Macaca fascicularis: one gene and its partners. The protein of the gene in region 1 purifies or fractionates together with the protein of each later gene. This does not show direct contact. Links are inferred from orthologs where the notes say so. Each region holds a gene or a part of one and is shown on either strand. Other genes may lie near its edges. The genes, in order: KEAP1, MAP1LC3A and IKBKB.

The links.
Region 2: the proteins of KEAP1 (region 1) and MAP1LC3A purify together in Homo sapiens (affinity purification with mass spectrometry; 3 studies listed by BioGRID and IntAct, with this or other methods). This does not show direct contact. The link is inferred for Macaca fascicularis from reciprocal best matches to the Homo sapiens genes KEAP1 and MAP1LC3A.
Region 3: the proteins of KEAP1 (region 1) and IKBKB purify together in Homo sapiens (affinity purification with western blotting; 7 studies listed by BioGRID and IntAct, with this or other methods). This does not show direct contact. The link is inferred for Macaca fascicularis from reciprocal best matches to the Homo sapiens genes KEAP1 and IKBKB.

Annotation. Positions count from the first base shown.
Region 1 is NC_088393.1:11,056,571-11,066,839, reverse strand, and holds the start of KEAP1 (kelch-like ECH-associated protein 1), read left to right. Parts: upstream 1-5,045; 5' UTR 5,046-5,484; intron 5,485-5,848; exon of another isoform or gene 5,849-5,879; intron 5,880-8,483; 5' UTR 8,484-8,530; coding exon 8,531-9,169; intron 9,170-10,269. UniProt on the Homo sapiens protein: Substrate-specific adapter of a BCR (BTB-CUL3-RBX1) E3 ubiquitin ligase complex that regulates the response to oxidative stress by targeting NFE2L2/NRF2 for ubiquitination.
Region 2 is NC_088384.1:90,596,051-90,605,539, reverse strand, and holds MAP1LC3A (microtubule-associated protein 1 light chain 3 alpha), read right to left. Parts: upstream 5,858-9,489; 5' UTR 5,707-5,857; coding exon 5,646-5,706; intron 5,338-5,645; coding exon 5,282-5,337; intron 5,199-5,281; coding exon 5,092-5,198; intron 4,823-5,091; coding exon 4,660-4,822; 3' UTR 4,222-4,659; downstream 1-4,221. Other genes in the region: PIGU (phosphatidylinositol glycan anchor biosynthesis class U protein), read left to right, coding at 3,597-3,710. UniProt on the Homo sapiens protein: Ubiquitin-like modifier involved in formation of autophagosomal vacuoles (autophagosomes). While LC3s are involved in elongation of the phagophore membrane, the GABARAP/GATE-16 subfamily is essential for a later stage in autophagosome maturation.
Region 3 is NC_088382.1:45,784,998-45,795,313, reverse strand, and holds the start of IKBKB (inhibitor of nuclear factor kappa-B kinase subunit beta), read right to left. Parts: upstream 6,682-10,316; 5' UTR 6,324-6,681; intron 5,898-6,323; 5' UTR 5,880-5,897; coding exon 5,775-5,879; intron 3,983-5,774; exon of another isoform or gene 3,861-3,982; intron 1-3,860.

The DNA of each region.
Region 1 (10,269 bases):
TATCCGGGTGTGGTGGCACACATCTGTAATTCCAGCTACTCGGGAGGCTGGGGCAGGAGAATCGCTTGAACCCAGGAGGCAGAGGTTGCAGTGAGCAAGGAGATCGCACCACTGCACTCCAGCCTGTCTCAAAAAAAAAAAAAAAGAAAAGAAAGAAAAGAGAGAGAGCACTCTCTGGTGTGGTCTTCCTATAAGGACATTAATCCCATCATGAGGTTCCCACCTTCATGACCTCATCTAGACCTAATCACTTCCCAAAGGCCTCACTTCCAAATACCATCCCATTGAGGGTTAGGGCTACAACACATGAAAAGGGGGTACGGGCGCATAATTCGGTCCATAGCACTTCTTTTTTTTTTTTTTTTGAGACAGAGTTTTGCTCTTATTGCCCAGGCTGGAGTGCAGTGGCCCGATCTCGGCTCACTGCAACCTCCACCTCCTGGGTTCAAGTGATTCTTCTGCCTCAGCCTCCTGAGTAGCTGGGATTACAGGCATGTGCCACCATGCCCCACTAATTTTGTATTTTTAGTATAGATGAGGTTTCACCATGTTGGTCAGGCTGGTCTCGAACTCCTGATCTCAGGTGATCTGCCCTCCTCGGCCTCCCAAAGTGCTGGGATTACTGGCGTGAGTCACCGGGCCTGGCCGTTTTTTTACATTAAAAAAATGGAGGCCTGGTCAGGTACAGTGACTCATGCCTGTAATCCCAGCACTTTGCAGGGCCGAAGCAGGAGGATCACTTGAACCCAGGAGTTTGAGACCAACCTGGGCAACATAGTGAGACACTATCTCTACAAAAAATAAAAAACTTAGCTAAGTGTGGTGGCATACACCTGTAGTCCCAGTTACTTGGGAGACTGAGGCAGGAGGATCACTTGAGCCAGGAGTTCGAGGCTGCAATGAGCTGTGATTGCACTGCTGCATACCAGCCTGGGTGATAGCAAGACCCTGTTAAAAAAAAAAAAAAAAAAAAAAAAAAAAGAAGGCCGGGTGTGGTGGCTCATGCCTGTAATCCCAGCACTTTGGGAGGCCGAGACGGGCGGATCACAAGGTCAGGAGATCAAGACCATCCTGGCTAACATGGTGAAACCCCGCCTCTACTAAAAATACAAAAAAAAATTAGCTGGGCAAGGTGGCGGGCGCCTGTAGTCCCAGCTACTCTGGAGGCTGAGGCAGGAGAATGGCGTCAACCCAGGAGGCGGAGCTTGCAGTGAGCCGAGATCACGCCACTGCACTCCAGCCTGGGCGACAGAGCCAGACTCTGTCTCAAAAAAAAAAAAATAATAATAAGTGGGGCATGGTGGCTTACACCTGTAATCCCAGAACTCTGGGAGGCCAAGTAGGGAGGATTGCTTGAGCCCAGGAGTTCGAGATCAGCCTGGGCAACATGGTGAAGCCCCAGCTCTACAAAAGAAAGAAAAAAAAGCAGGGGAAAAGAAAAAGTTAGCTGGGTGTGGTAGTGAGTGACTGTAGTCTCAGCTACTTGGGAGGCTGGGGCAGCAGGATCACTTGAGCCCAGGAGGTCAAGGCTGAAGTGAGCTATGATTGTGCCACCGCACTCCAGCCTGGGTGACAGAGCAAGACCCTGTCTCAAAAAAAAGATAAATAAATAAAATAAAAGAGGAGTCCGGGTGAGGTGGCTCACGTCAGTAATCCCAGCACTTTGGGAAGCCGAGGCAGGCGAATCACGAGGTCGGGAGTTCAAGACCAGACTGACCAACATGGTGAAACGCTGTCCCTACTAAAAATACAAAAAATTAGCCGGGCGTGGTGGCTCAAGCCTGTAATCCTAGCTGCTCGGGAGGCTGAGGTAGGAGAATAGCTTGAACCTGGGACTTGGAGGTTGCAGCAAGCTGAGATCGCACCACTGCACACCAGCCTGGGTGACAGTATGATACTCCGTCTCCAAAAAAAAAAAAAAAAAAAAAAAAAAAGAAAGAAAAAGAGAAAAGAAAAAATAGAAGATCTAGGTACATATCCATGCAGTAAATGTGTTGCTCCTTTTAACTGGCTGCATAGTATTTCTTAGCAAGGAAGTGCCACCACTGATTAAGCCAGGACTCTACAGAGGGACATGTGAATGGGATCCAGTCTTTTTGCCATGATATGCATTATAATGCAATAAATGTGTGTGCACATGCTTCCTCCTGTATGTGTGCGAGTGCACCTTGGATAAATCTCTACAAGCACCTGGCTCACCGGACCTGTAGGTTTGATTTTGAGAGATATTAGAAAGGTTGTTTTCTGAAACGTGCCAGGAGGGTGCTGGTTACAACCTTGGCCACTCAACGTCTTCACGGACTATCTGGGGCGCCCCCCTGAGGAGCTGTCTGGAACTGCAGACTGCAGCTACACGCAGCTACACGCAGCTACACGCAGCTACACGCAGCTACACGCAGCTACACGCAGCAAGGATTTCGGGTAGCCGGGTAACTCTAACATAGCCCTACACGTGATTCCTTCCAGAACCTGAGCCAGGACGTTCAGTTTTTCAAATTCACCCTGGAGGCTCCAGAGACCTAGAGTTTCCATTTATTATTCACTTACATGGCGAAACCCCATCTTTTTTTTTTTTTTCCCCTTTTGAGAGGGAGTCTCTCTCTGTTGTTCAGCCTGGAGTGCAATGGCAGGATTTCGGCTCACTGCAACCTCTGCCTACCCACCACTACACCCGGTTGATTTTTTGTATTTAGTAGAGACGGGGGGGGGGGGGGGGGGGTCTCACCATGTTGGTCAGGCTGGTCTCGAACTCCTGACCTCAGGTGATCCACCCGTCTTGGCCTACCAAAGTGCTGGGATTACAAGCATGAGCCACCGCGCCTGGCCTCTCTATCTTTTTAAAGTAATGATAATTTAGATGACATTTAGACGAATTCTTTTCTTTTTTTGAGAGGGAGTCTCACTCTGTTGCCCAGGCTGGGGTGTGGTGGCGCGATCTCTGCTCACTGTAACCTCTGCCTCCCGGGTTCAAGCAGTTATCTGCTTTAGCCTCCTGAGTAGCTGGGATTACAGGCGCCCGCCACCACGCCCTGCTATTTTTCGTATTTTTAGTAGACATGGGGTTTCACCATGTTGGCCAGGCTGGTCTTGAACTCCTGACCTCGTGATCCACCTGCCTCGGCCCCCAAAGCGCTGGGATTACAGGCGTGAGCCACCGCACCCAGCCTAGATGAATTCTTTAAAATAAACTTACAGGCCGGGCGCGGTGGCTCAAGCCTCTAATCCTAGCACTTTGGGAGGCCGAGACGGGCGGATCACGAGGTCAGGAGATCGAGACCATCCTGGCTAACACGGTGAAACCCCGTCTCTACTAAAAATACAAAAAATTAGCCGGGCGAGGTGGCGGGCGCCTGTAGTCCCAGCTACACGGGAGGCTGAGGCAGGAGAATGGCGTAAACCCGGGAGGCGGAGCTTGCAGTGAGCTGAGATCCGGCCACTGCACTCCAGCCCGGGCGACAGAGCGAGACTCCGTCTCAACAACAAAAATAAATAAATAAATAAAATAAAATAAAATAAAATAAAATAAAATAAACTTACATACATTTATTTAAAAGTTAATGTTACATGATGAACGGTGTACATGACAAATCAGTATCCCCAGTCATGAAAAATGGCAATGGAATGGTTTCTATCTCTTGGGCGCTAGTATTCACACTTAGGTTTATGTTATTTTATTTATTTATTTATTCATTTTGAGTCTGAGTCTCGCTCTGTCGCCTAGGCTGGAATGCAGTGGCGCGATCTCGGCTCACTGCACGCTCTGTCTCCCGGGTTCACGCCATTCTCCTGCCTCAGACTCCCGTGTAGTTGAGACTACAGGCGCCCGCCAACACGCCCGGCTAGTTTTTTTTTTTTTTATTTTTAGTAGAGACAGGGTTTCATAGTCTTAGCCAGGATGGTCTCGATCTCCTGACCTCATGACCCGCCCACCTCGGTCTCCCAAAATGCTGGGATTACAGGCATGAGCCACCGCGCCCGGCCCCGCATTTAGTCTTAATGATAATCTGGTAGATAGGTGCTATTATATTACTACCTTTTACAGAGAGGAAACTGAACCACAGAGAACTAAGTAAGCGCCTACTGGCACTGAACTGGCAAGAGGCAGATTCGGGGTTTGAACCCCCCCTAAAGACGGGTGCCACACGCCTTTTGATAGGAAGTAAATCAAAAATAAAGACAAGGAAGGCCGAGCGTGGTGGCTCACGCCTGTAATCCCAACACTTTGGGAGGTAGAGGTGGGCGGATCACGAGATCAGGAGTTCGAAACCAGCCTGGCCAACATGGTGAAACCCCATCGGTACTAAAAATACAAAAAATTAGCTGGGCATGGTGGCGGGCACCTGTAATCCCAGCTACTCGGGAGGCTGAGGCAGAAGAATTGTTTGAACCTGGGAGGCAGAGGTTGCAGTGAGCCAAGATCAAGCTACTACACTCCAGCCCAGGTGACAGTGCAAGACTCCGTCTCAATTAAAAACACACACACGCACACACGCGCACACACACACGGAAAACCCAGGGCCTGGACCCAACGCCTCACACCTATAATCCCAGAACTTTGGGAGGTCGATGGAGGATCTCTTAAACCCAGGTGTTCAAGACCAGCCTGGGCAACATCGCGAGACCCCCGTCTCTACAGAAAAAAAAAAAAAAAAAAACCTAAAAATTGGCCGGTTGTGGTGGCGCGTGTCTGTGGTCCCAGCTACTCAGGAGGCTGAGGTGGGAGGATCGCTTGAGGGCAGGAGCTCGAGGCTGCAGTGAGCCGCGATGGCGTTACTGCACTCCAGCCTGGGCGTGCAGATCCGAGCGAGACCTTGTCTCTAACGGAAAAGAGAGAGAGAGAGAGAGAGAGAGAAAGGAAAACAAGGAAGGAAGGAAGGAAAGAAGGAAAGCAAGAAGGAAGGAAGGAAGGAAGGAAGGCAGGCAGGCAGGCAGACAGGCAGACCCAGCGAGGTAGACAATTTTCCCTAGATCCTGTGGCCGCCAGACCACGAGGCAGGCGCTGTGCGTCGTTAAAAGAATAGCAGGTGGTGGCGCGCAGCCCCGCCAGGAGACGTCCGGCGAGGAAACCAGGAGATGGAAGAGACAGTGAGAAGGGGGGCCAGGCTGTGCGTCCCCGCCCGATGCCCCACTCCTCGCCGACGGGCGCCGGGCACCTGCGGGAAGGGCGGGAGAATCGCCGCTCCTTCCCCGCCGCGCCCTCTCCGCCCTCTCCCCGCCTCCTTTTCGGGCGTCCCGAGGCCTCTCCCCAACCGACAACCGAGACCCCGCAGGCCACGCAGCCCTGGCGCCGAGGCCCCCCGACGGCGGAGGCGCCCGCGGGTCTCCTACAGCCAAGGTAAGGCAGGAATCTTCCGGACCCGGCCGCGGACCCCCGGGCTTCCCGGAAGCGCAGTGTGCGGGTGGCATCACCGTACCCGGAGCCCCTGCGCGCCCCGGACATCCCCACCCCGAGGGACCCCCTACGGAGGCGACCCGGTGGCCGAGGTGAGCGCTCCGGCAGCAGCGACGGGGAGGGGTGTCCACCCCATCCCCGGTGCGGGCCGGGACGCGCGGGTCTGGAACTCGGGGTTCAGACTCCCCGCGACTCGGACCACGCGGCTGAGCGCGCCCAGGGCCGCGTGCCCCCGCCCCGCGGCCATGCTGGCAGCAGTGGTGGCCGCGCAGCTCGGCGACCGCAGGCGTGGGCGGGGGCTGGGGAGCGGCCCTCCGCGGTCCCTACCGCCCGAGGCCAGGGCCCGGGGACTTTTATTGTGACAAGGCGGGCGCCCGGCTCTGCTTAGTCATGGTGACCTGCGCGCGCTCCGCGCCTCCCCCACGCGCAGCGATGGAGGCGCCGAGGCTCGGCAGTGGAGGCGGAGCCGGAGCGCGGCCATGGCGGGGTGAGTGAGGCGGGATGTACCCGGGCTGCGGGCATCGCGGGCCGCGAGCGCCCCTGCGGTCGTGCCCGGAGACCAGGAAACCGGGCGCCACGGCTCAGGGAGCCTCCGAGTTCCCCACCAGGACTCGGAGGGCCAGGAGGGCGAGGCCTGGGTCCAATCTTTTTGTTGGACGGCGCAACTCTCGGGGTGGCCCGGGAGCGGCGGAAACCGAGCGAGAGAACCCGGAGGCGTGGAGCAGACGGAGGCCCGGGGCCTCCGAGGCGTTGGGGGGCTCAATCTGCGTTCTGGGATTGGCAGCCGAGACGCCGCGGCGGGGTCACTTCCTCGCCTCTCTGGGCCTGGTGGCGGCTCAGGAGGGGCATGCGCAGTCGCCCACTTGTCGCTTTGTAGGGTGGGGGAAGTGCCCGGTGCCCAAGGGGCATCGTTGACCGATTGGCCAAAGACCAAGACGCAAGCCCAGGGCCTTGGCACCGGAGGGGGGGCCGAGTGGCACCCAGGGAGGGTGGAGAAGGCCGCTCTGGCAGGCACGGTGGCACGGGCATTTAGCCAACCACCCGTGTACTGACCCCTGCGCAGTGCCAGGCCCCAGGCGGGAGGCACAGGAGAGGGTTGGCCCGACGCCAACCTACATAGGGTTCCCTGCCATTTGCGGCGCTGGGGCCGGGGACGAGAGACAGTCGATCAACAGACAAGCAAAGGAGGTCATTTCAGTTCCTGACAAGCTCAGTGATGACAATAGAACAGGGAAGAGGGGACTCTGAGTGGAGCCCCAGAAAGAGGGGAGTGAGAACTTGCAGATCCACTTGTGGGGAACCACTTGGAGATCCCCCACTCCTTTCAAAACATAACTCATGTCTGCGCACAGCAGCCTATGCCTGTAATCCCAGCATTTTGGGAGGTCGAGGAGGGGGATCACTTGAGACCAGGAGGTCGAGACCACCCTGGCCAATATGGTGAAACCCCATCTCTACTAAAAATACAAAAAATTAGCCCATGGTGGTGGCTGGTGCCTGTAATCCCAGCTGCTCAGGAGGCCAAGGTATGAGAATATCCTTTTTTTTTTTTTTTTGAGACCAAGTCTTGTTCTGTTGCCCAAGCTGGAGTGCAGTGGCGCGATCTCTGCTCACTGCAAGCTCCGCCTCCCGGGTTCACACCATTCTCCTGCCTCAGCCTCCCGTGTAGCTGGGACTACAGGCGCCCGCCGCCATGCCCGGCTAATTTTTTGTATTTTTTTAGTAGAGACGAGGTTTCACCGTGTTAGCCAGAATGGTCTCCATCTCCTGACCTCGTGATCCGCCCACCTCGGCCTCCCAAAGTGCTGGGATTACAGGCGTGAGCCACCGCGCGGGACTGAGAATATCTTGAACCTGGAAGGCAGAGGTTGCAGTGAGCCAAGATCGCACCACTGTACTCCAGCCTGGGCAACAGAGCGAGACTCTGTCTCGAAAAACAAAACACAAAACACATAACTCATCTCCTGGCCCTCCAGGCTCCAGGGGTTTCCATGAAACCCTTCCTTAAGTCCTTAGCTCTCACTGCACTCCTTCTCAATTCTCCAGATTGACTGTCTCAGCCTCTGAGCCACTGCACTTGCTATTTCCTCTGCCTGGAAAACTACTCCACAGCCTCCCACTTTATGATAATTTTCATCCTTGTCTCAGCTCTAACCTCACCTTCTCAAAGAAGCTTGGCCTGTCAGATTTTTAAAAACTGCACCCAGGGCCAGGCACGGTGGCTTACGCCTGTAATGCCAGCACTTTGGGAGGCCAAGGCAGGCGGATCACTTGAGGTCAGGAGTTTGAGACCAGCCTGGCCAACATGGTGAAACCCAGTCTCTACTAAAAATACAAAAACTAGCTGGGCGTGGTGGTGGGCGCCTGTAGTCCTAGCTACTCGGGAGGCTGAGGCAGGAGGATCGCTTGAACCCGGGAGGCAGAGGTTGCAGTGAGCCAAGATCGAGCCACTGCACTCCAGCCTGGGTGACAGAGTGAGACTCCATCTCAAAAAAAAAAAAAAAACTGTACCTGATTCTCACATTGTCACAATGCTGTTGTAATTTTCTTCATGAAGCTGATTTTCCAGGTCTTGCTTATTTTAGTTTATGATTGTTCCTCCCCACAGGTGTCAGCTCCAGCAGGTAGGATTTTTGTGTGTTTTGCTCACTGCTGTGTCTTCAGCACCCAGATCAGTGCCTGGCATACAGTAGGTGCCCAACAAATGGTGAGGCGAATGAAGGAATGAGCCCGACATGCTCTAGAAAGGGAAAGGCCACCAGATTACTGAAACAGAGTGATCAAAGGGAAGAGGTGGCAGGGGCTAATTGCGTAGGGCTTTGCAGGCTGTTGAGGAGTTCAGTTTTACTAGGTACTGTGGGAGGCATTGGAGGATCCAGAGCAGGGGAGAGACATGACCTCATCTATGTTTTAAGATGGGCTCTTGGGCTGGTCAGGTCAGGGGGATGTTTGCAAATTTGCAAATGGACTCTGCTTCACCTACTCTGCAGGAAAACTGACCTAGGAATTGCTTTATCTTACAAAAGGAGACCCTGCAGGTGCTGGCCCAGCCCCAACCCGTGCCCCCTGCCCTGTGCTCTCTCCCCTCCAGGCCCCTGAGTGCCAGAGGTGGTGGTGTTGCTTATCTTCTGGAACCCCATGCAGCCAGATCCCAAGCCTAGCAGGGCTGGGGCCTGCAGCCGATTCCTGCCCCTGCGGTCACAGTGCCCTGAGGGGTCAGGGGACGCGGTGATGTATGCCTCCACTGAGTGCAAGGCGGAGGTGACGCCCTCCCAGCATGGCAACCGCACCTTCAGCTATACCCTGGAGGATCATACCAAACAGGCGTTCGGCATCATGAACGAGTTGCGGCTCAGCCAGCAGCTGTGTGACGTCACACTGCAGGTCAAGTACCAGGACGCGCCTGCCGCCCAGTTCATGGCCCACAAGGTGGTGCTAGCCTCATCCAGCCCCGTCTTCAAGGCCATGTTCACCAATGGACTGCGGGAGCAGGGCATGGAGGTGGTGTCCATTGAGGGTATCCACCCCAAGGTCATGGAACGCCTCATCGAATTCGCCTACACGGCCTCCATCTCCATGGGCGAGAAGTGTGTCCTTCACGTCATGAACGGCGCTGTCATGTACCAGATCGACAGCGTTGTCCGTGCCTGCAGTGACTTCCTAGTGCAGCAGCTGGACCCCAGCAATGCCATCGGCATCGCCAACTTCGCCGAGCAGATTGGCTGTGTGGAGTTGCACCAGCGTGCCCGGGAGTATATCTACATGCATTTCGGGGAGGTGAGCGGGGAGGTGGGGCTGGGGGCAGTGTCAGGAGAAGGACCAGGGATGGATGAGTGCTCATCACTGTCTCCCCTTGAGATGTGAAGGCAGGAACCTGGAGGAAAAGGAGGTTCTGGGCTGGGCACGGTGGTGTAGTCCCCACAGTTTGGGGGGCCTAGGTGGGGGGATTGCTTGAAGCCAAAAGTTCAAGACCAACCCGGGCAACATAATGAGACCCTGTCTCTAAACAAACAAACAAATAAACAAAAAACAACTGGGGGCCGGGCGCGGTGGCTCAAGCCTGTAATCCCAGCACTTTGGGAGGCCGAGGCGGGTGGATCACCTGAGAATGGGAGTTTGAGACCAGACTGACCAACATGGAGAAACCCCGTCTCTACTACAAATACAAAAAAATTAGCCGGGTATGGTGGTGCATGCCTGTAATGTCAGCTAGTCGGGAGGCTGAGGCAGGAGAATCACTTGAACCCAGGAGGCGGAGGTTGCTGTGAGCCAAGATCGCACCATTGCACTCCAGCCTGGGCAACGAGAGCGAAACTCAGTCTAAAAAAAAACAAAAAAAAAAAACTGAGGCCAGCCGTGGTGGCTCACGCCTGTAATCCCAGCATTTTGGGAGGCTGAGGTGGGTGGATCAGCTGAGGTAAGGAGTTCAAGACCAGCCTGGCCAACATAGCGAAAACCCATCTCTACTAAAAATATAAAAATTCGCCAGGCCTGGTGGTGCGCGCCTGTAGTCCCAGCTGCTCAGGAGGCTGAGGCAGGAGAATCACTTGAACCCGAGAGGCGGAGGTTGCAGTGAGCCGAGATCAAGCCACTGCACTCACTCCAGCCTGCGCGACAGAGCGAGACTCAGTTTCAAAAAAAAAAAAAAAAATTAAAAAACAACTGGGGTTCTGAGTTCCTTGTCTACGCGTGTGGGGACACTGGTGAACAGCTGGGGAAGGTGAGGTCTTCATGTGTCTCTGGGCTCCCTAGTTTCTCTGGGGTCAAAGGTGGGGACAGAGTGCAGTGAAAAGCAGCCAAATCCTGGGGCAGCCCAGCCTTTCGGACAGTCAGCAAATGTTTATTGAACACCCATTACAGGTTGCAAGCTGTAAGCC
Region 2 (9,489 bases), on another chromosome or scaffold:
ACATTTTTCTTATGTAAAATTTATTATACAGGGAAAAGTGCAAATCTTATGTGTACATTTGCCAAAGCCCTCTTTCACTCAGCAAAATATTTTGAGTTTGTTACATATAACAGTAGGTCATTGCTGTTAATTTTTTTCCTGTTTGAAGAGCTGGGGTTTTGCTCTGACACCCAGGTTGACCTCCTGGGCTTAAGTGATCCCTTTGCCTCGGCTTCTCGAGTAGCTAGAATTACAGGCACAAGCCACCATTCCCGGCTAGTTCATTTATTTTTTAAATAAACTTTTTATTTTAGAATCACTTTAGATTTATAGGAAAGTTGGAGAGATAGAGTTCCTGTAAGCCCCCACCTAGTTGCCTAGGTTGTTAACATTTTATATGTTACCATGATATGTTTGTCAAAACTAAGACACCCTGATATATTACTATTAGTCTGAAACACTAGAATGGATTTGGATTTCCTATTTTTGCAGTCACATCCTCTTTCTCTGCCAGGACCCCATTGAAGGGTCCACGTTACACTTAAGGTCACACCTCCTCAGTGTCTTCTGCTTTTGTTTTTAGTCTTTCCTGACTTGTCATGACCTTGACAGTTGAGGACCACCAGCCAGGCATCTCGTAGAATGTCACCCAATTTAGGTTTGTCCACCAGTTTAGGTTTGTCTGATGCTTTTCTTAGGATTATCCTGTGGTTGTGGGTTTTTAGAAGGAATCACATCTATTGGGGGTACATGCTAGCCATGTGATTTCAAGCTGATGTTAACCTCCACCACGTGGTTAAGATAGTGTTGGCCAGGTTTCTCCACTGTGAAGTTACTCTTTTCCCTTTCTCTGATCCTCAGCAGGAAGTGAGTAACCGAGTCTAGACCACCCGAGGCTTAGGGGATGCAGAGTGAACAAGAATTAAGCTCCTTCTTTGGGAGGGGGTATAACTATCTACATTGTTTGGAATTCTTCTGGAAGGAATATTTATCTCCTCCCCGCATTGATGTATTGATTCATTGATGTATTGGCTGATTTAATTGAAGTTTTATTTTTTATTTTTGAGACGGAGTTTCGCTCTTATTGCCCAGGCTGGAGTGCAGTGGCACATCTCCGCCTCCCGGGTTCAAACGATTCTCCTGCCTCAGCCTCCTGAGTAGCTGGGATTACAGGCATGCACCACCACGCCCAGCTAATTTTGTATTTTTAGTAGAGATGGGGTTTCTCCATGTTGGTCAGACTGGTCTCGAACTCCCGACCTCAGGTGATCTGCCCGCCTTGGCCTCCGAAACTGGTGGGATTACAGGCGTGAGCCACTGCGCCTGGCCAAAGTTTTATTTTTGTCAGTGGAATACATGTATGTAGTTTGCAGAGTTCAGGTTTATAGGGGAAAAGAATAGCTACCTAAATTCTTCCTGTTATTTCTGCTGGTGTTTCTAAATAATATGCCTACTCTTCTGTGTGTCCTTTTCCGTTTTGTATTAGGTTGGATCATATGAAATTGCCTGTATTCAACCATTTTTTTATCTGCAAAAATGGCAGTTTCATCTGGTCCAATCTAATAACCTCATCTTTTTCTTCCTCCTGCTTGTCCAGATGATTATTGTGTGACATGGAGTTGCTTCGTTTTGATTGTTGCGGATTGTGACTGCACCTGCCCCTCATCTGACCTGGTTCAGGGATCAGCCTCTGAGCTCAGTCCCTGCTTTGGGCTCCTCCTGCCCAGATGGCATCTCGGGCCTGGGTGAGAAAGGGCTGCAGGGTATGAGGTCAGCCTTTGCTGTGATCGCTGTCCCCCAATGGGCCAGCCTGGAGCTGCCAGCTGGGCAGCTGGGGGCCGGGCCTCAGGGGCTGCCTGAGCTCTGTCTGCTTTTCTGACACTGACCAATCTGGTGCTCCTCAGGGATCTGGGCCCCAGGCAGACCACCTTTCTGGGTCCATGGCCATTAGTCCAGTGCTCCAGGTGCAGCCTTAGGCCAACCATTGAACACTTTGAGTCTCAGTTTGCCCATCTGTTGAAGATGAGGATTGTTAAACCTTCCAGATGGGCTTCTGTGGTGATAGAATGGCAGGTACTTGTCCTGAGGCCATTAGAGCTGCTGGTGACAGGACACCTTCTTGAACTCCAGGCGCCTCTGATCTCTCTTTAGCTGCTGTTGTGTTACCTTCAGGTGAGTGAGAAGCTGCCCAGGACAGGGTCTGGAGGTCTAGATCCCAGGCTTAGCTCAACCTGTCTTGCCCCAAGACCATAGCCAAGTGCTCTGTGCCTTAGTCTCCCCATCTGTGCCATGTGGTTGGTGCCAATCCTCTGAGGTCTCCAGGTGCCTGAGAGCTGCAGTGTCTGCAGTGTGAGCCCATCCGCTCATCCTTCTCTGAGGCTGGGCCCTGCCCAACCTGCTCCAGGGACCAGTGGTCTTGGGAAGCTTGGGCTGACCGAGACCGCAGACTCTGGGTCTGGTGTACAGGGCCCTCGGCAAATCCCTGTTCCTTTCTGGGCCTCCTTGAAGAGACAGTGGGCTGAGCTTCTAGGCCCCCTTTGATTCTGCGTGTGGCCCGGAATGGGACAGACAGACTGAGCTGGGCACAGAGATACCATAGTGACAGAACCATTCGAAGACCCTGCCCTGATGGAGGCCCTGGGCCAGGGGAGGAGGCACAATCAGGCTGTCAGCTGAAGGAAAAATTGTGCTTTGGATGAGTCTGTTATTGAGTAGAGATTAGTGGGGCCAAGACCTAATCTGGGGGGCAAGTGATCCTGAGACCTGAAGCGTAAGCAGCTGTCGACTAGATGAACGGGGAGAGAACGTTCCATGCAGAAGAAACAGTAAGGATCCTGCAGTGGGGTGAGGTGGAGCCAGGAGAGGGTGGGCAGGGACCCTAGCAAGGTCTCAGAGCACCAGGGAGTTCGAGCTTCCCCCTAAGGCATGGGAAGCCTTTGGAGGATTTGAAGACTGGAAGTAACACCATCAGATGTAGGTTTTGAAAAGCTCCCTCTGGCTGCCAGGAAGAATGGGGTGGGCGTGGGTTTGAGAGCAGGGAGCCCAGGGACCAAGCTTTGCTGTTGTTTAGGAGATGACAGTGGCTCTGTCCAGAGTAGTGACTGTGGGGCTGGATCGAAAGGGTGGATTTGAGTTTAAGGGGTAGAATTGACAGGTCATGGTGGCTTGATGTATGAGAGAAGTGTCAGGGCAATTTTATGGCCTGGGCACTTGGCTGGAAGATGGGGGCATGGGTGCCCAGTGGGAGAAGTGTATTTGACAGAGGGAAGGTGAGGAGTTTGATGTGGACCTGGCTGGGGTGGAAGTGGCTGTGGGAAGAGGGGGCAGAGGCCTCTGGCTGCACAGGCACCAGGCTGGCATTTGAGACCAAAGCCTGTGATGGAGGTGTAGACCATGGGTGGGGGCCGGGGAAGTCTGGACAGCTTCTGAGAGGCCAACAGACCTTGCAGGGTCAAGTTTGGGCCCTGAGGTGGGGGCCCTGGGCAGGGCCTCTCCAGTGATTGTGATCCAGAGCCAGGCAGGGGCTCTCCTGTCTTCCAACACATGCTAGCAGTTCAGGGATCCTGGGCTCACGGGGAGATACCCTGCAGCACCTCATATCCTCTCTCTCCCCCCAGATCCTGCTCATCTCTGATTACTTCTATGCCTTCCTGCGGCGGGAGTACTACCTCACACACGGCCTCTACTTGACCGCCAAGGACGGCACAGAGGCCATGCTTGTGCTCAAGTAGGCCTGGCTGGCACAGGGCTTTGTGGACCTCAGGGGGCTGAGGGGCCAGAAGCTGGGCCAAGCCCTCCAGTCAGAGTTGCCAGCAGGCGAGTGCTCGGGCAGAAGAGGTTCGAGTCCAGGGTCACAAGTCTCTGGTACCAAGAGACCCATGGCTGATAGTAAGGCCTGTGGGGAAGAACTGGAAGCTCCCCAACTTGGACCCCCCCACTTCGTGGCTCTGCACACCAAGGAGCCCCCTCCCAGGCAGGAAGGAGAAGAGGCAGGTGAGCAGGGCTTGTTAGGTTGTAGCTACTTAATAAATGTTTTTTGTTATGAAGTCTACCCTGAGACCACATCTGCATTGCACTCCTAGAGGGGTGGCCCCTAATGTTCTGAACACTACACACAGGTGTGGGTTTCCACAGCAAGCACTGAGGCCACAGAACACAAGTCTGTGCGCCAGAGCCCGGGGATGGTGCAGACAGCCCTACCAGCACCCTTCCCACTCCCAAGCAAGCAGCTGGAGGCACAGGGCCAGGCAGGCCTGAGCAATCTTTATTCTGCAGAGGGACAATGACCACAGATCCATACACCATGTGGAGACCGAGGGGCGGGGAGCCAGGGGCCAGTCTTTCAGGGGTGGGCAGGTCCAGGCGTGGGCAGAGCCTTGGGTGGGTGAGGGGCAGATGGGCAGACAGGCAGGGGCCTAAAAAAAAGATGAACCACACAGCGGGGTGCTGGGGGCTGCTCCCAACCCTCCCCCATCCCAGCCAGCACCCAGAGGGACAACCCTAACACAACCGGCCCAGGATCCACCCAGGGGCAGAGTAGGTGGGTTGCCCTCTGACTAGGGGGGCACATGCCTGCCCAGCCCACCACGGCAGAGGCAGCTCAGTTCAGGAACCAGGAGCTCTCTGGGCAGGGCCTGACCGGGCCCCCCCCACTCCCAGGCCGACCCCCCTACTGCTGGCTCAGAAGCCGAAGGTTTCCTGGGAAGCGTAGACCATGTAGAGGAAGCCGTCCTCGTCTTTCTCCTGCTCGTAGATGTCCGCGATGGGCGTGGACACGCTCACCATGCTGTGCTGGTTCACCAGCAGGAAGAAGGCCTGCGTGGGGTTCAGCTGCAGGCGGCGCCTGAGGCAGGCGGGAGAGTATGTGGCTGTAAGGGGCTTGGCTACGGGGCAACGTAGCCCTGACCCCCAGAATGATTCCCAGCCTTTTACACCCATCCTCACCCCACCTGTCACCTCTGACCCGGCACCGACTGCAGCCCCGACCTTGACCTTTCCAGCCGCCCCAGAACAGGGGTCCACCACCGGTCCCATCACCCCTGACCCCTTCTCGGCGGGAACCCGTCTCCCTTCCCGACCCAAGCCACCACCTGGCAGCGGCTGCCCACGCACCGGATGATCTTGACCAACTCGCTCATGTTGACATGGTCCGGGACCAGAAACTTGGTCTTGTCCAGGACGGGCAGCTGCTTCTCACCCTTGTAGCGCTCGATGATCACCTGGGAGCAGGGCGGGCGGGCAGGGGGTTGTGTCGGGGACGCGCGAGGCGGGGCCGGGGCAGGGCTGGGGGCGCAGGACTTACCGGGATTTTGCTGGGGTGCTGGTCGCGGATCTGCTGTACCTCCTTACAGCGGTCGGCTGCGGACAGCGGCCAGACCGTGAGGCCGGGTCGGCCCGGCCCAGGTCCTCCCCACGTCTCCGCCTGCCTGTCCCCAAGGGGCGGCCCCCGGCCACGCCCCAGCTCCAGCCCCCGCCCCCGGGGCCGTCAGGCCCCACAGCCCCTGGCACCTATCGTGGTGGGGAAGCAGGCAGCCCCCGCCCAGGCCGGAGCCAGCCTCCCAGCCCGAGGGTCCAGCCGAAGCCTGACGTCACGGGGCTGACGTCACCTGCGGCAGTCTGGGTCGGCCGGGCACCCCCCCTCCCCGGCACCCCTACCCCGAGCTCACAGCTCGCCTGCCGGGCCTCACCGAAGCTCCGCCGCTGTTTGAAAGGCCGGTCGGAGGGCATCGCGCGGGCCCGGCTGGGCGCGCAGGCCGGGGCTCTGGGGCGCGGAGATGTGGCTGCGGTTTGGGGGCTCCGGGGGCTCCGTGCCTCGCGCTCAAGGGCTCCGGCGCTCGCGCTGAGCACGGCGGCGGCGGCTGCGGGAGGTAACTCGCCCGGTGACGTCAGGTCACAACATTCCTTAAAGGGGAGGCCGGCGCGCAGCTCCCATTGGGCCGACGCACAACCCGCCCGCCCGGACCCGTGACGTCACGGCGCAGAGAGCCTGGGTCCCCGGCCCGGGACACAAGGGGCGGGGCTCCTGGGCGCGTCACAGTCCCGTGACGTCATGAGCAGCGCGGGAGCCTCTCCCGTGGCCCCGACTCTGGTGAGGCCGGGAGAGCGGTGGGGCCGCCCTGGGCCGATGGAGCGGGTGGGCCAGGCTGCAGCCCCGTGGCACCACTTCCTGCCCTCACCGAGTCTGTGTCAGGACTGACCCGCGGTTCTGGGCACCGTGGGAAACAGCGGGAGCCAAAGGCCCGGCGCCTTCAAGGGGGCTCAGGGCAAGAGAAGGGAGAAGGTGCGGGAGGCACAGTCAGACACAGGATAGAGCAAGACGCTAGAAATGAACGCCCAGGTTTGAAAAAGAATAATATAATTGAAGAGTAGAGCTATCGAAATTCAGGTCTCAGAGGATGTGGCAAGAAGGCAGAGCAGGACAACAGAAGAGAAATCGTGGACCTGGAGGCTGATAGCAAGCAGCTTACCAGAGGACAGGTGATGGAGAATTAAAAGGAAAAGGCCACGGATGGCAACGCCAGGAGAACTCGCAGGCCGGAGCAGAGCTCCACAGGCGAGCACTGAAAGACCTGCAGAGGCAGTTCCTGAATGAGAGCTGCCAGAAATGATGCTTAAAATCCAGAGCAGAAGGCACAGACCGAAGATCAACATCTTTTTTTTTTTTTGAAAGGGAGTCTCGTTCTTGCGCCAGGCTAGAGTGGTGCGATCTCAGCTTACTGCAACCTCCGCCTCCCTGGTTCAAGCGATTCTCCTGCCTCAGTCAGCCTCCTAAGGAGCTGGGATTATTAGGCGCCTGCCACCACGCCTAGCTACTTTTTATGTTTTTAGTAGAGATGGGGTTTCACCATGTTGGCCAGGATGGTCTTGATCTCCTGACCTCGTGATGCGCCCGCCTCAGCCTCCCAAAGTGCTGGGATTACAGGCGTGAGCCACTGCGCCCAGCCGCCAAAATAATTTTTAAAGAATGTACTTCAGTATCAAAGACATGGAACCCAAAAGGAAGAAATTAGATGGAAAAATGGTGAGCAAATTAGTAAACATGTCAGTAAATCTAAACAAGTATTTAATATGCAACATGAATAATGGATAATCTGTGGGCCACAGAAACAAGATGCATGAGACAGAAGAACATGGGAGACTGAGAGGGCAATCAGAGTTAAGGTGTTTTAGGAAGTTCGATTTGAGAGGGGGATAAAGAGACTAAGCATTGTCTGGCTTTGTAAAGTCAGGTGTGTATTTCAGATATTTAAGAGGGATCATCAAAAGAATACAAACTATAATGGACGCCAGAAAAGGAGAAAAAGGAAGCAAAGTAAAAGGGATGGTAAATATATAGTACAAAACCAGAGGTAGAAAATGTGGTTTACGTTCACCTCTTAAAACACAGATGACCAGATTGGCCAAGAAAAAATAAAATGCAGCTCTATGCTATTTACAAGAGGACATTTAAAATCTAAGGGCACCAAAAGTAAAATGATGGAAAAAGGTGTACTAGAGAAAAACTAACCAAAATATGTACCTATAGAAATTCACTCAGACAAAATAGGCCTTCAGGCAGAAGACATTGGGGACAAAGGATCACCATGAAATGATGCGAGTAGCTCTGTGAAGAGAGGGAAGTTCTGAACTTCTATGTTCCAGGGTTTTTAAGGCTGAAAATAGGCTGGGTGCAGTGGCTCATGCCAGTAATCCCAGCACTTTGGGAGGCCGAGGTGGGCGGATCACTTGAGGCCAGGAATTTAAGACCAGCCTGGCCAACGTGGCAAACTCTGTCTCTACTAAAAGTACAAAAATTAGCCGGGCGTGGTGGTGCACGCCTGTCATCGCAACTACTCAGGTGGCTGAGGCACAAGAATTGCTTGAACCTGCTAGGCGGAGGTTGCAGTGAGCCGAGATTGCGCCACTGCCCTCCAGCCTGGGCGACAAAGCAAGACTCTGTCTATATATAGACTCTGTCTATGTTGCTCTCTCTCTATATATATATATGAATACAAGGAGAAATTGCCAAGTCCTCCATCATAGTGGGAGACATAAGACCTATTTGAATAACTAATAAACGGAACAACCAAAAAAACTAAGGACATAGAGGATGTTAATACAGTTGCTAATCCTGATCAGTGAAGCCCAATAGAATCCTGAACCTGACACGTTAATTTTTTAAGTTTTAAAATTTAAATTTCAGACCTGTGTGGGACCAACACATTACTTTCAATCACGGAAGGAACATTTACAAAAATGACCCAACTACTAGGGTGCACGACAAATCTCAACAGATATCAAATCAGTTTCAACCATATTCTTTGGCCACAGGCAAAAACCATGTAAGCTCCAACTGTGTGGAAATTGAAACCTGTTCTAAATATGAACTCATATATAAGTAAAAATTATTTAGATTAAAAAAAAATGAGGATACATATATTAAGAAAACTTGGGAGGGGGGCCCATACCAGGCTGGATGTGGTGGCTCAAACCTGTAATCCCAGCACTTTGGGAGGCCCAGACTGGAAAATTGCTTGAGCCCAAGAGTTCAAGGCAGCAGTGAGCTGTGATTGCACCTCTGCATTCCAGCCTTGGTGACAAAATAAGACCCATTTCTTAAAAAAAAAATTCAGATTTATAGCCTTATTACATAGATGTATTACTTAGATAATAAATACAGAGAATCAATGAGCAGAGTGTCAAAGAAATTTAAAAAGGAGTAATAGTGTAATCCCAGCACTTTGGGAGGCCCAGGTTGGAGAATCACTTGAGCCCAGAAGTTTGAGACCAGCCTGGGCCACATAGTGAGACCCGGTTTCTACAAAAATGAGAAAATTAGGCCAGGCGCAGTGACTCATGCCTGTAATCCCAACCCTTTGGGAGGCTGAGGTGGGCAGATCATTTGAGGCCAGGAGCTCAAGACCAGCCTGATCAACATGGCAAAACCCCGTCTCTATTAAAAATATAGAAGTTAGCTAGGTGTGGTGGCACATCCTGTAATCTCAGCTACTTGGGAGGCTGAGGCACAAGAATTGCTTGAATCCAGGAGGCAGAGGTTTCAGTGAGCCGAGATTGCGCCACTGCACTCCAGCCTGTGTGACAAGAGTGAGACTGTCTCAAAAAAAAGAAAAGAAAAGAAAAAAATTAGCTGGCTTTGGTGGCACACAGCTATAGTCCCAACTATTCAGGAAGCTGAAGTGGGAGGATCGTTTGAGTGACAGAGGCCCTGTCTCAGAAAAACAACAAAAAATACTGAAAACAGGCCAGGCATGGTGGCTCACACCTGTAATCCCAGCACTTTGGGAGGTCGAGGTGGGTGGATCACCTGAGGTCAGGAGTTCGAGACCAGCCTGGCTAACCTCGTGAAACCCCATCTGTACTAAAAATACAATATTAGCTGGGCATAGTGGCAGACACCTGTAATCCCAGCCACTTGGGAGGCTGAGGCAGGAGAATCGCTTGAACCCGGGAGGTGGACGTTGCAGTGAGCCGAGACTGTGCCATTGCACACCAGCCTGGGCAAAAAGAGCG
Region 3 (10,316 bases), on another chromosome or scaffold:
CATTAGATAAATATTTGTGGACTGGCAGAGTGGATGATTTGGATCACCTAGCACATATACAACGTCAGGCACTTGCTACAGAAGAACTGAAGGAACTCCAAGGCCAGACCCAACCCTGGCTGACCAGGAATGCAGGGTCCTGACGACACTTACTCTCGTCAGACAGGAAGGGCGGCACAGGAGCCGGCCTGGAGAGGCCTGGAGAAACTCACCGGGAGAACCAGTTCCCACGGAACAAAGTCATCCCAAACAGGTTTGTGGAGGAGGTAGCCTAGAGTTCATCCTGGAGGAACATGCAGGAGAGGGAGGCCTGTTCGACGAGAGGGCTCAGCACCCGAACCAGGGGCAGCCAAGGGGAGGAATGACAGAGAGGCAGGTGCAAACAGACTGCATGGGGTTCAGCCGGCAGGAGGAGGAAGCTGGCTTTTGGCTTTTTAAAAGTACATAACAGGCCAGGCGCCTGTTAGTGGCTCATGCCTGTAATCCCAACACTTTGGGAGGCCAACATGGACAGATCACTTGAGGTCAAGAGTTTGAGAACAGCATGGCCAACATGGTGAAACCCTGTCTCTACTAAAAATACAAAAACTAGGCTGGGCACAGTGGCTCATCCCTGTAATTCCAGCACTTTGGGAGGCCGAGGCGGGTGGATTGCCTGAGATTGGGAGTTCAAGACCAGCCTGGACAGCATGGTGAAACCCCGTGTCTACTAAAAATATAAAAACTAGCCGGGTGTGGTGGCAGGTGCCTGTAATCCCAACTACTTGGGAAGCTGAAGCAGGAAAATCGCTTGAACCCAGGAGGCGGAGGTTGCAGTGAGCCGAGATCGCGCCAACGCACTCCAGCCTGGGCAACAGTTTGTGACTCCGTCACACACACAAAAAAGAAAAATTAGCTGGGTGTAGCCAGGTGTGGTAGCTTATGCCTGTAATCCTAGCACTTTGGGAGGCCGAGGTGGGCAGATCGCAAAGTCACGAGATCGAGACCATCCTGGCTAACACGGTGAAACCCCATCTCTACCAAAAATACATAAAAAATTAGCCAGGCATGGTGGCAGGTGCCTATAGTCCCAGCTACTCGGGAGGCTGAGGCAGGAGAATGGCATGATCCCGGGAGACGGAGCTTGCAGTGAGCCAAGATCACGCTACTACACTCCAGCCTGGGTGATAGAGCAAGACTCCGTCTCAAAAAAAAAAAAAATTAGCCGGTCATGATGGCGCTGCCTGTAATCCCAGCTACTCAGGAGGCTGAGGCAGGAGAATCGCTTGAACCCAGGAGATGGAGGCTGCAGTGACCCCAGATCACACCTGTCTCAGCTGAGCGTGAGACTGTCTCAAAAAAAAAAAAAAAAAAAAAAGAAAACATGGGAAGTGCTTCAGGGTCTGGGAAAAGATTTTATGGATAAGCACAGTTAACAGAGGCAAAAGTAGACAAATGAGATTACATCAAACTAAAAAGCTTCTGCACGGCAAAAGAAAAAACAGAGTAAACCTATGGAACCTGTGGAGACAACCTATGAAATAGGAGAAATTGTTTGCAAACTATCCATCCAACAAGGGATTAATATCAAGAATATGCAAGGAACTCAAACAACTCAACAGCAAAATAATAAATCATCCAATTTTTAAAATGGGCAAATGATTTGAAGAGGAATTTCTCAAAGACTTACAGATGGTCAACAAGTATATGATAAAATGTTCAATATCACTAATCATCAGACAAATGCAAATCAAAACCACAATGAGATGTCATCTCACCACAGTTAAAATGGCTATTATCAGAAAGACAAAAAAGAACAAATGAAGGCAAGGATGTGGAGAAAGGGAAACTCTATACACTATTGGTGGGAATGTAAATTAGCACAGCCATTATGGAAAATAGTATGGCGGTTCCTTGAAAAACTACAAATAAGGCTAGCGCAGTGGCTCACGCCTTAGTTTCAACAGGTTGAGAGGCTGAGGCAGGCAGATCACCTGAGGTCAGGAGTTCGAGACCAGCCTGGCCAAAATGGCAAAACCCTGTCTCTACTAAAAACATAAAAATTAGCCGGGTGTGGTGGCACACACCTGTAATCCCAGCTACTTGGAGGCTGAAGCAGGAGAACTGCTTGAACCCAGGAGGCAGAGGTTGCAGTGAGCCGAGATCATGTCACTGCACTCCAGCCTGGGTGACAGAGCCTGAGACCAGCCTCCGTCTCAAAAAAAAAAGAAAAACTATAAATAGAATTACCATATGATCCAGCAATCCCACTAGTGGGTATCTATCCAAAGGAAAGGAAATCAGTTTATCAAAGAGATATTGGCACCCTCATGTTTACTGCAGCACTATTCACAATGGCCAAAATATGAAATCAACCTAAATGTCAACCTAATGTCCATCAATGAACAAATGAATAAAGAAAATGTAGTACACAGACACAATGGACTCTCTTATTCAGCCATAAAAAAGAACGAAGTCCTGTCATCTGTGGCAACATGGATGAGCCTGGAGGGCATTACATTAAGGGAATTAAGCCAGGCCCAGAGAGGTAAATACCGCATGTTCTCACTCATCTGTGGGAGCTAATAAAAAACAGATCTCAGTTGGTTAAAATCAGTAGGCTGACACCTGGGATTACCAGCACTTTGAGAGGCTGAGGTGGGAGGATCACTTGTGTCCAGGAATTCGAGACCAGCCTGGGCAACAGAGACCTCCTATCTACAAAAACACAAAAAATCAGCCGGGCGTGGTGACACATACCTGCAGTCCCAGCTACTCAGGAGGTTGAGGCAGAAGGATCATTTGAGCCCAGGAGGTCAAGGCTGCAGTGACCCATGATGGCACCACTGCTCTCAGCCTGGATGACAGATTGAGACCCTGTCTCCAAAGAAATTAAAAATTAAAAAAAAAAAAAGGCCAGGCATGGTGGCTCATGCCTGTAATCCCAGCATTTTGGGAGGCCGAGGCAGGCAGATCGCCTGAAGTCAGGAGTTCGAGACCAGCCTGGCCAACATGGTGAAACCCTATCTCTACTAAAAACACAAAAATTAGCCAGGTGTGGTGGTGCACGGCTGTAATCACAGCTACTTGGGAGGCTGAGACTGGAGAATCACTTGAACCCAGGATATGCCGGTTGCAGTGAGCTGAGATTGTGCCACTGCACTTCAGCTTGGGCAACAGAGCGAGACTCCATCTCAAAAAAAAAAAAAACTGATCTCAGCCAGCCTCGGTGGTTCACACCTGTAATCCCAATACTTTGGCAGGCTGAGGCGGGGGGGGATCACCTAAGTTCAGGAGTTCAAGACCAGCCTGGCCAACATGGTGAAACCCCATCTCTACTAAAAATACAAAAATTAGCCAGGTGTGGTGGCAGGCACCTGTAATCTCAGCTACTCGGGAGTCTGAGGCAGGAGAATTGCTTGAACCTGGGAGGCAGAGGTTGCAGTGAGCCAAGATCGCGCCATTGCACTCCAGCCTGGATGACAAGAGCAAAACTCCATCTCAAAAACACAACAACAACAACAAAAGACTGATCTCACAGAAGTAGAAAGTAGAACAGTGGTCACCAGAGGCAGGAAAGGGTGAGGGTGTGGGGGCTGGGGTGTGGAGGGGAATAGGGAGGGACTGGTTAATGGGTACAAAATTATAGTTAGGTAGAATAAGTTATAGTATTCTATAGAACAACAGGGTGACTACAGTGAATAAAACTTTATTATACATTTCAGGCCGGACGCAGTGGCTCACGCTTGTATTCCAAGCACTTTGGGCAGCTGAGGTGGGCGGAACACCTGAGGTCAGGAGTTCGAGACCAGCCCAGCCAACATGGTTAAACCCCATTTCTACTAAAAATACAATAATTAGCCGGGCATGGTGGTGCACACCTGTAATTCCAGGTACTCAGGAGGCTGAGGCAGGATAATCACTTGAACTCGAGAGGCGGAGGTTGCAGTGAGCCAAGATCGCACCACTGCACTCCAGCCTGGGCAACAGTGCTAGACTCCATCTCCGGGAAAAAAAAAAAAAAATTATTGTGTATTTCAAAATAGCCAGAAGAAAGAATTTTGACTGTTTCCAACAAAAAGGATAAGTGTTTCAAGTGATGAATATGCCAATTACCCTGATTTGATCATTACACATTAGGTGTCAAAATATCACACTGTCCCCCATAAATATGTAACAATTATTATGTGTCAATTAAAAATAAAAACAGGCCAGGTTCAATGACTCATGGCTGTAATCCCAGCACTTTGAGAGGCCAAGGCAGGAAGATCACTTGAGGCCAGGGATTCTAGACTAGCCTGGACATTGAGAGACCACCATCACTACAAAAAATAAAAAAAAAAAAACCTCAGCTGAGGCCATGTCCCATGGCTCAGGCCTGTAATCCCAACATTTTGGGAGGCAAAGGCGGGAAGACTGCCTGAGGACGCGAGTTCGAGACAAGCCTGGGCAACATAGCAAGACCCCATCTCTACAAAATTAAAATAATTCTCACTTTCATGTGGATCTGCTTATTTTGTACCGTGCAATACTGGGAAGACATCATAATTGGCAAATATTATAAATACTTTTTTTTTTTTTTGAGACAGGGTCTCATTTTGTAGCCCAGGCTGGAATGCAGTGACACTGTCTCAGCTCACTGAAACCTCCGCCTCCTGGGTTCAAGCGATTCTCCTGCCTCAGCCTCCTGAGTAGCTGAAGTTACAGGCACGTACCACCACAGCAGCTAATTTTGTATTTTTAGTAGAGATGAGGTTTCACCATGTTGGCCAGGCTGGTCTCAAACTCCTGACCTCAAGTGATCCTCCCTCCTAGGCCTCCCAAAGTGCTGGGATTACAGGCGTGAGCCAATGTACCTGACATTTTAAATAATTTCTAAAAAATGGTTTTGAAACAAGGTCTCCCTCTGTCACCCAGGCTAGAGTGCAGTGGCACAATCATAGCTCACTACAGCCTCAAACTCCTGGGCAAGAAATCCTCCCACATCAGCCTCCAATGTAGTGGGACTACAGGTACGCACCATGGCTGCCTAATTTTTTTTTTTTTTTTTTTTTTTTTTTTTGAGATGGAGTCTCAATCTGTTGCCCAGGCTGGAGTGCAGCAGCGCAATCTCCGCTCACTGCAACCTCCGCCTCCTGGGTTCAAGCGATTCTCCTGCCTCAGCCTCCCAAGTAGCTGGGACTACAGGCACGTCCCACCAAGCCTGGCTAATTCTTTGTATTTTTAGTAGAGATGGGGTTTCACGGTGTTAGCCAAGATGGTCTCTATCTCCTGACCACGTGATCCGCCTGCCTCAGCCTCCCAAAGTGCTGAGATTACAGGTGTAAGCCACCACGCCCAGCTGGCTGCCTAATTTTTAAAACTTTTTTGTAGAGACGAGGTCTTGCTATGTTGCCCAGGCTGTTCTTGAACTCCTGGCTTCAAGGAATTAAAATATTTTAAACTATTTAATTATCCTCATCCTTTAAATTTTCCTATTTCTGTATGTTTTATAACATATATCAGTATATATTAGTACATGATATTCTACTGTAACCATATATATATATAAAATACAGACTAAGAGCTTATCTTTATTTTACTGTTTATTTAGGTGACATAGTCAATAAAGCTTGGAGACCACTAACCTGGAGTCAGCTCAGAAGTCCTGAAGCCCTCTTCCCAGTCCCCTATTCACTGTCCCAAGATGACCAAAGCCAAAGGTGAGCCCTTGGCCCAGTAGGATCAGAGAAAGTGGAGGCAGTGAGGAGGGAGCCTGGCTTCCCACCCCTCCCCAAGCTGCACAGAGGGCCTACCTGATTGTGCCATCGGATGACATTTCCAAATCCCCCTGTCCCAAGGCGCTCTTTCATTTCCCAGGCCCCACATGTCTGGGTTGTCAGGGAAGGTGACCAGCTCATACTGATGTCGTGCTAACTCTGTAAGCAATTTGGGATGGGGAAAAAAGGTTAGGATTAAGAAAAAAAAATGGAGTTCAAAGAGATGGAGAAGGCAAGAGATACCACTGCTCTCGAATGGGAGAGAAGAAAAATACAACTGGTTTTTTACTTTGTAAAGAAACTAATGTGTTTGGTTTGTCCAAACTTTGTGGCAAACTTTTGTCCCTCTCACCCTCCCCCATCCGGTTGCTGTGGCATCAGGCAGGGAAGAAAGTCACCGAGGGAGGCGATGTCCACGCCCCTGCCCCAGCGAGGGGATCCCCGGCGGACTCCACCAGGGGCGCCCGGGCCTGCCCGCCTTCTGCCCGAGGTGGCAGGGACAGAACCTACTTCTGAGCGTCCCCTCGGTCACGTGTTTCTTTACAACGTTCCCATAAATCGCAGGTTTCCCTCAAAGCCACCCACCCCCAAGAAGCCATCCCAGCCAGGGCTGTTTCTCCCGGCTTCCCGAACTCCAATCCGCACGAGTGAAACCCTCCCCAGTCCGCAAGCTGCGACTTTCCAGCGGCACAGAGGGGTCTTCTGGGCCTTGCAGGCAGCGGAGCGGCGGGGCCTGCAGGTGGCACCCGGGCCGCACCCGCGAGGGGGACTCACCTGTCGGCAGGGACGCGGGGCAGGGGGAGGGCTCCCCGGGGCGGGGGAGGCGGGGCTGGGGCGGCCGGACCCTGGGCTCTGATACCCCTCTGAAAACATTAAAATGCGGGAATCTTAACGCGGGCAGCGCGGCGCGACTTCCTCAAACACTTCCTGCTCTGACATCACTGAGCACGTGGGCCGCGGCCGCTCTTAAAGTGGCCGCGAGGGGCGCGAGGCTGACCAGGTCCGGATGCTGCGAGCGCCGCGGGCCAGGTGGGCCTGTCCCGGGACCCGCAACCGGGCGACTTCCCGGGGGCGGGGGTGGCGTGTGGCCTCTAGAATAAACTGAGGGAAAGTGGACAGACTGTGCTCACCGATTTAAAAGAACAGCCCTGAAATGACCCCCGTTACGCCCTGTTCTCTTTAGACAAGTGACTTCCACCTGGAGCCGTTTCTGGGCCCGGGCATGGGGATTTCCTCACCCGGCCGCCTAGGCTTTCACCTCGGTGGAATTTCCCGCGCCCCTGCTGGGATGATTTAGGGACTGTTGGCTATAACTGCCCTTGCCGCCCGCCCTACTGCGGGCGCTCCCCTGTCTGTGGGGGGTGCTTGGCTGGGTGTGGAGAAGGATCAATCACAGCTGACTCCTCAGAGGTGACAGCCCCCGCCCCCTTAAAAATAAGAAAAGACCTAGAAGTGTGAAGCCAAACTGCAGCCCCACCCCCAGTGACAGGAGGAAACCGCGAGGCGCACAGCCTAAGGTTCATCATTCATCTCCTTCTGCTTGGAGTCAGAATGTCCTCCCTGCTGAGTTCCTCCGTTTTGTGGCATTACATTAGTGGACAAAGGAGGTGTGTGTGTGTGTTGCTATATTTTATTCAAGCAGGAAAAAACTACCAAAGGAACCTGAAGATGATAATAATAGCTCACATCTATAGAGTGCTTACACAGTGCAGGGCTCTGTTCTAAATCTCTGAACTTAGATTTCCTTACTCAATCCTCAGGGCAACCCTGTAAATTGGACAATACTGCATTATTATTATTATTATTATTATTATTTATTATTATTATTATTATTTCGCTCTGTCACCCAGGCTGGAGTGCAGTGGTGTGATCACAGCTCACTGCAGCCTCCAACTCTTGTGCTCAAATGATTCTCCTGACTACAGGTGCATGGCCGCCATACCTGGTGGCGGGGGTCTCACTCACTGAGTTGCCCAGGCTAGTCTCGAACTCCTGGGCTCAAGGGATCCAGCCGCCTGGACCTCCCAAAGTGTTGGAATTACAGGTGTAAGCCACCGCACCTGGTCTGCATTATTATTATTTCCAAGGCACAGGGCTGCTACGTAGATGAACTGATACTCAAACTCTAGCAACTGGTTCCCGGGTTCTAAATGGGTGGTTAAAAGTAGCATGTTAAGTTCAGAGGGAGGCAAACTGGATTTTGAATTCAGATACTGCTGTTGACTACCTCTGAGGCACTGGGGCTGGTTTGTTAAACACTCTGAGCATCTATTTCCTCTTTTAAAATTTAGGCAGTATTAGGTTGAATTGCATTTAATTGTCATTTTTTGGAAATTGAAAACAGCCAAAACATCAGTGACAAAGATCAGCAGTTTCATCTGCTTCACTGTAATAGCAGGGGGACAGGCGGGCTCACAGAAAGTCATAGAAAGGAGGCCACCCCAGAGTTGTTGTGAGGGACAAATGAGATATTGATAGCAGCAGTGCCTGACAGCCCTGGGGTTGAAGTTAACTCAGGGACAGATCTCAACCCAAACATAGGGGTCAGTGGTGTCCAGGGCTGTGCTAGGCAAGCTGGCTGCTCTGTTTCTTTTCCCTCCCCCTCCCCTCCCCTCACCTCCCCTCCCCTCTCCTCTTTCTTTTTCTTTCTCTCTCTCCTTTCCTTTTCCTTCCTTCCTTCCTTCCTTCCTTCCTTCCTTCCTTCCTTCCTTCCTTCCTTCCTTCCTTCCCCCTCCCCTCCCTCCCATCCCCTCCCCTCCCTTCCAGGCTACTTAGTTTCTTTCTCCCTTCCCCTTCCCCTTCCCTTTCCCCTTCCCTTCCCTACCTTTCCTCCTTCCTTTCTTTCCTTTCCCTTTCCTCCCCTCCCCTCTTCTCTCCTCTCCTTTCTCTTTTTCTTTCTCTTTCTCGTTCTCTCTTTTCCTTGCTTCTTTCCTTCCTGCATGCATGCCTGCCTGCCTGCCTTCCTCCTCCCCCCTCCCCTCCCCTCCCCTTCCCTTCTCTTCCCGTCCTGGCTACTTAGTTTCTTTCTTTTCTTTCCTTCCCTTCCCTTTCCTTCCTTCCTTTCTCTCTTTCTTTCTCTTTCTCTTTCTTTCTCCTTCCTTTCTTCTTTCCTTTCCTTTCCTCCCTTCCCCTCCCCTCTCCTCTCTTCCCTTCCCCTCCCCTCCCCTTCCCTTTCTTTCTTCCTTTCCTTTCCTTTTCTTTATTTTTTCTTTCTTGACAGGGCCTCTCTCTATCGCCCACTTTGGAGTGTAGTGGCAGGATGCTCACTGCAGCCTTGACCTCCTGGGTTCAAGGGGTCCTCCCACCTTAGCCTCCCCACTACCTGGGATTACAGGCACACGCCACCATGACCAGCTAATTTTTAAATTTTATTTTGTTGAGACGAGGTCTCACTATGTTGCTCAGAGTTGGCTCAAACTCCTGGCCTCAAAGCAATCCTCCCACCTTGGCCTCCTAAAGTGCAGGGATTACAGGTGTGAGCCACCGCTCCTGACCTGGCATTTCTTGATTACTCCCAGCTAAATGGCAAGCTCAGCCTCAAGGCTGGAAGCAACAGGAACATGAGTAAATAGTTGTAACACAAGTAGAATAGTGCCTGCATTGTCTAAATGCAATATAAGTGTTTGCTTAATAAGTAACTTTTTTAAATAAAATATGTATTGGCCAGGTGAGGTGGCTCATGCCTGTAATCCCAGCACTTTGGGAGGCTGAGGTAGGCAGATCACTTGAAGTCAGGAATTTGAGACCAGCCTGGCCAACATGGTGAAACCCTGTCTCTATGAAAAATACAAAAATTAGCTGGGCGTGGTGGCGAGTGCCTGTAATCCCAGCTACTTGGGAGACTGAGGCAGAAGAATTGCTCGAACCCAGGAGTTGGAGGTTGCAGTAAGTGGAGATCGCACCAGTGCACTATAGCATGGGCAACAGAGCTAGACTCCATCTCGGGAAAAAAAAAAAAAAATTAGGCCGGGTGCAGTGACTCACCCCTGTAATCCCAGCATTTTGGGAGGCCGAGGCAGGCAGATCACCTGAGGTCATGAGTTCAAGACTAGCCTGGCCAACATAGTGAAACCCCGTCTCTACTAAAAATACAAAAATTAGGCCAGGCACAGTGGCTTACACCTGTAATGCCAGCACTTTGGAGGCCGAGGTGGGTGGATCATGAGGTCAGGAGATCAAGACCTTCCTGGCTGACATGGTGAAACCCCATCTCTACTAAAAATACAAAAAAAAAAAAAAAATTAGCTGGGCATGCTGGTGCGTGCCTATAATCCAAGCTACTTGGGAGGCTGAGGTAGGAGAATCGCTTGAACCCAGAAAGCAGAGGTTACTGTGAGCTGAGATCGTGCCATTGCACTCTAGCCTGGGCGATGAGGGAAACTCCGTCTCAAAAAAAAAAGAAAAAAAAATTATTCAGCATCTGTATGTGCTGGGCACTGTGGAGAGTCTATTTCCAGTACCATGTCATAAAAAAGTTCTCTTTAATCCTATCATCTCTGAAAAACACTGTCCCTGAGAAACTTACCGAGACATCCGCTAATATGCCAAAAGTTTACTCTGCGCTCCTGTAATTTGAAT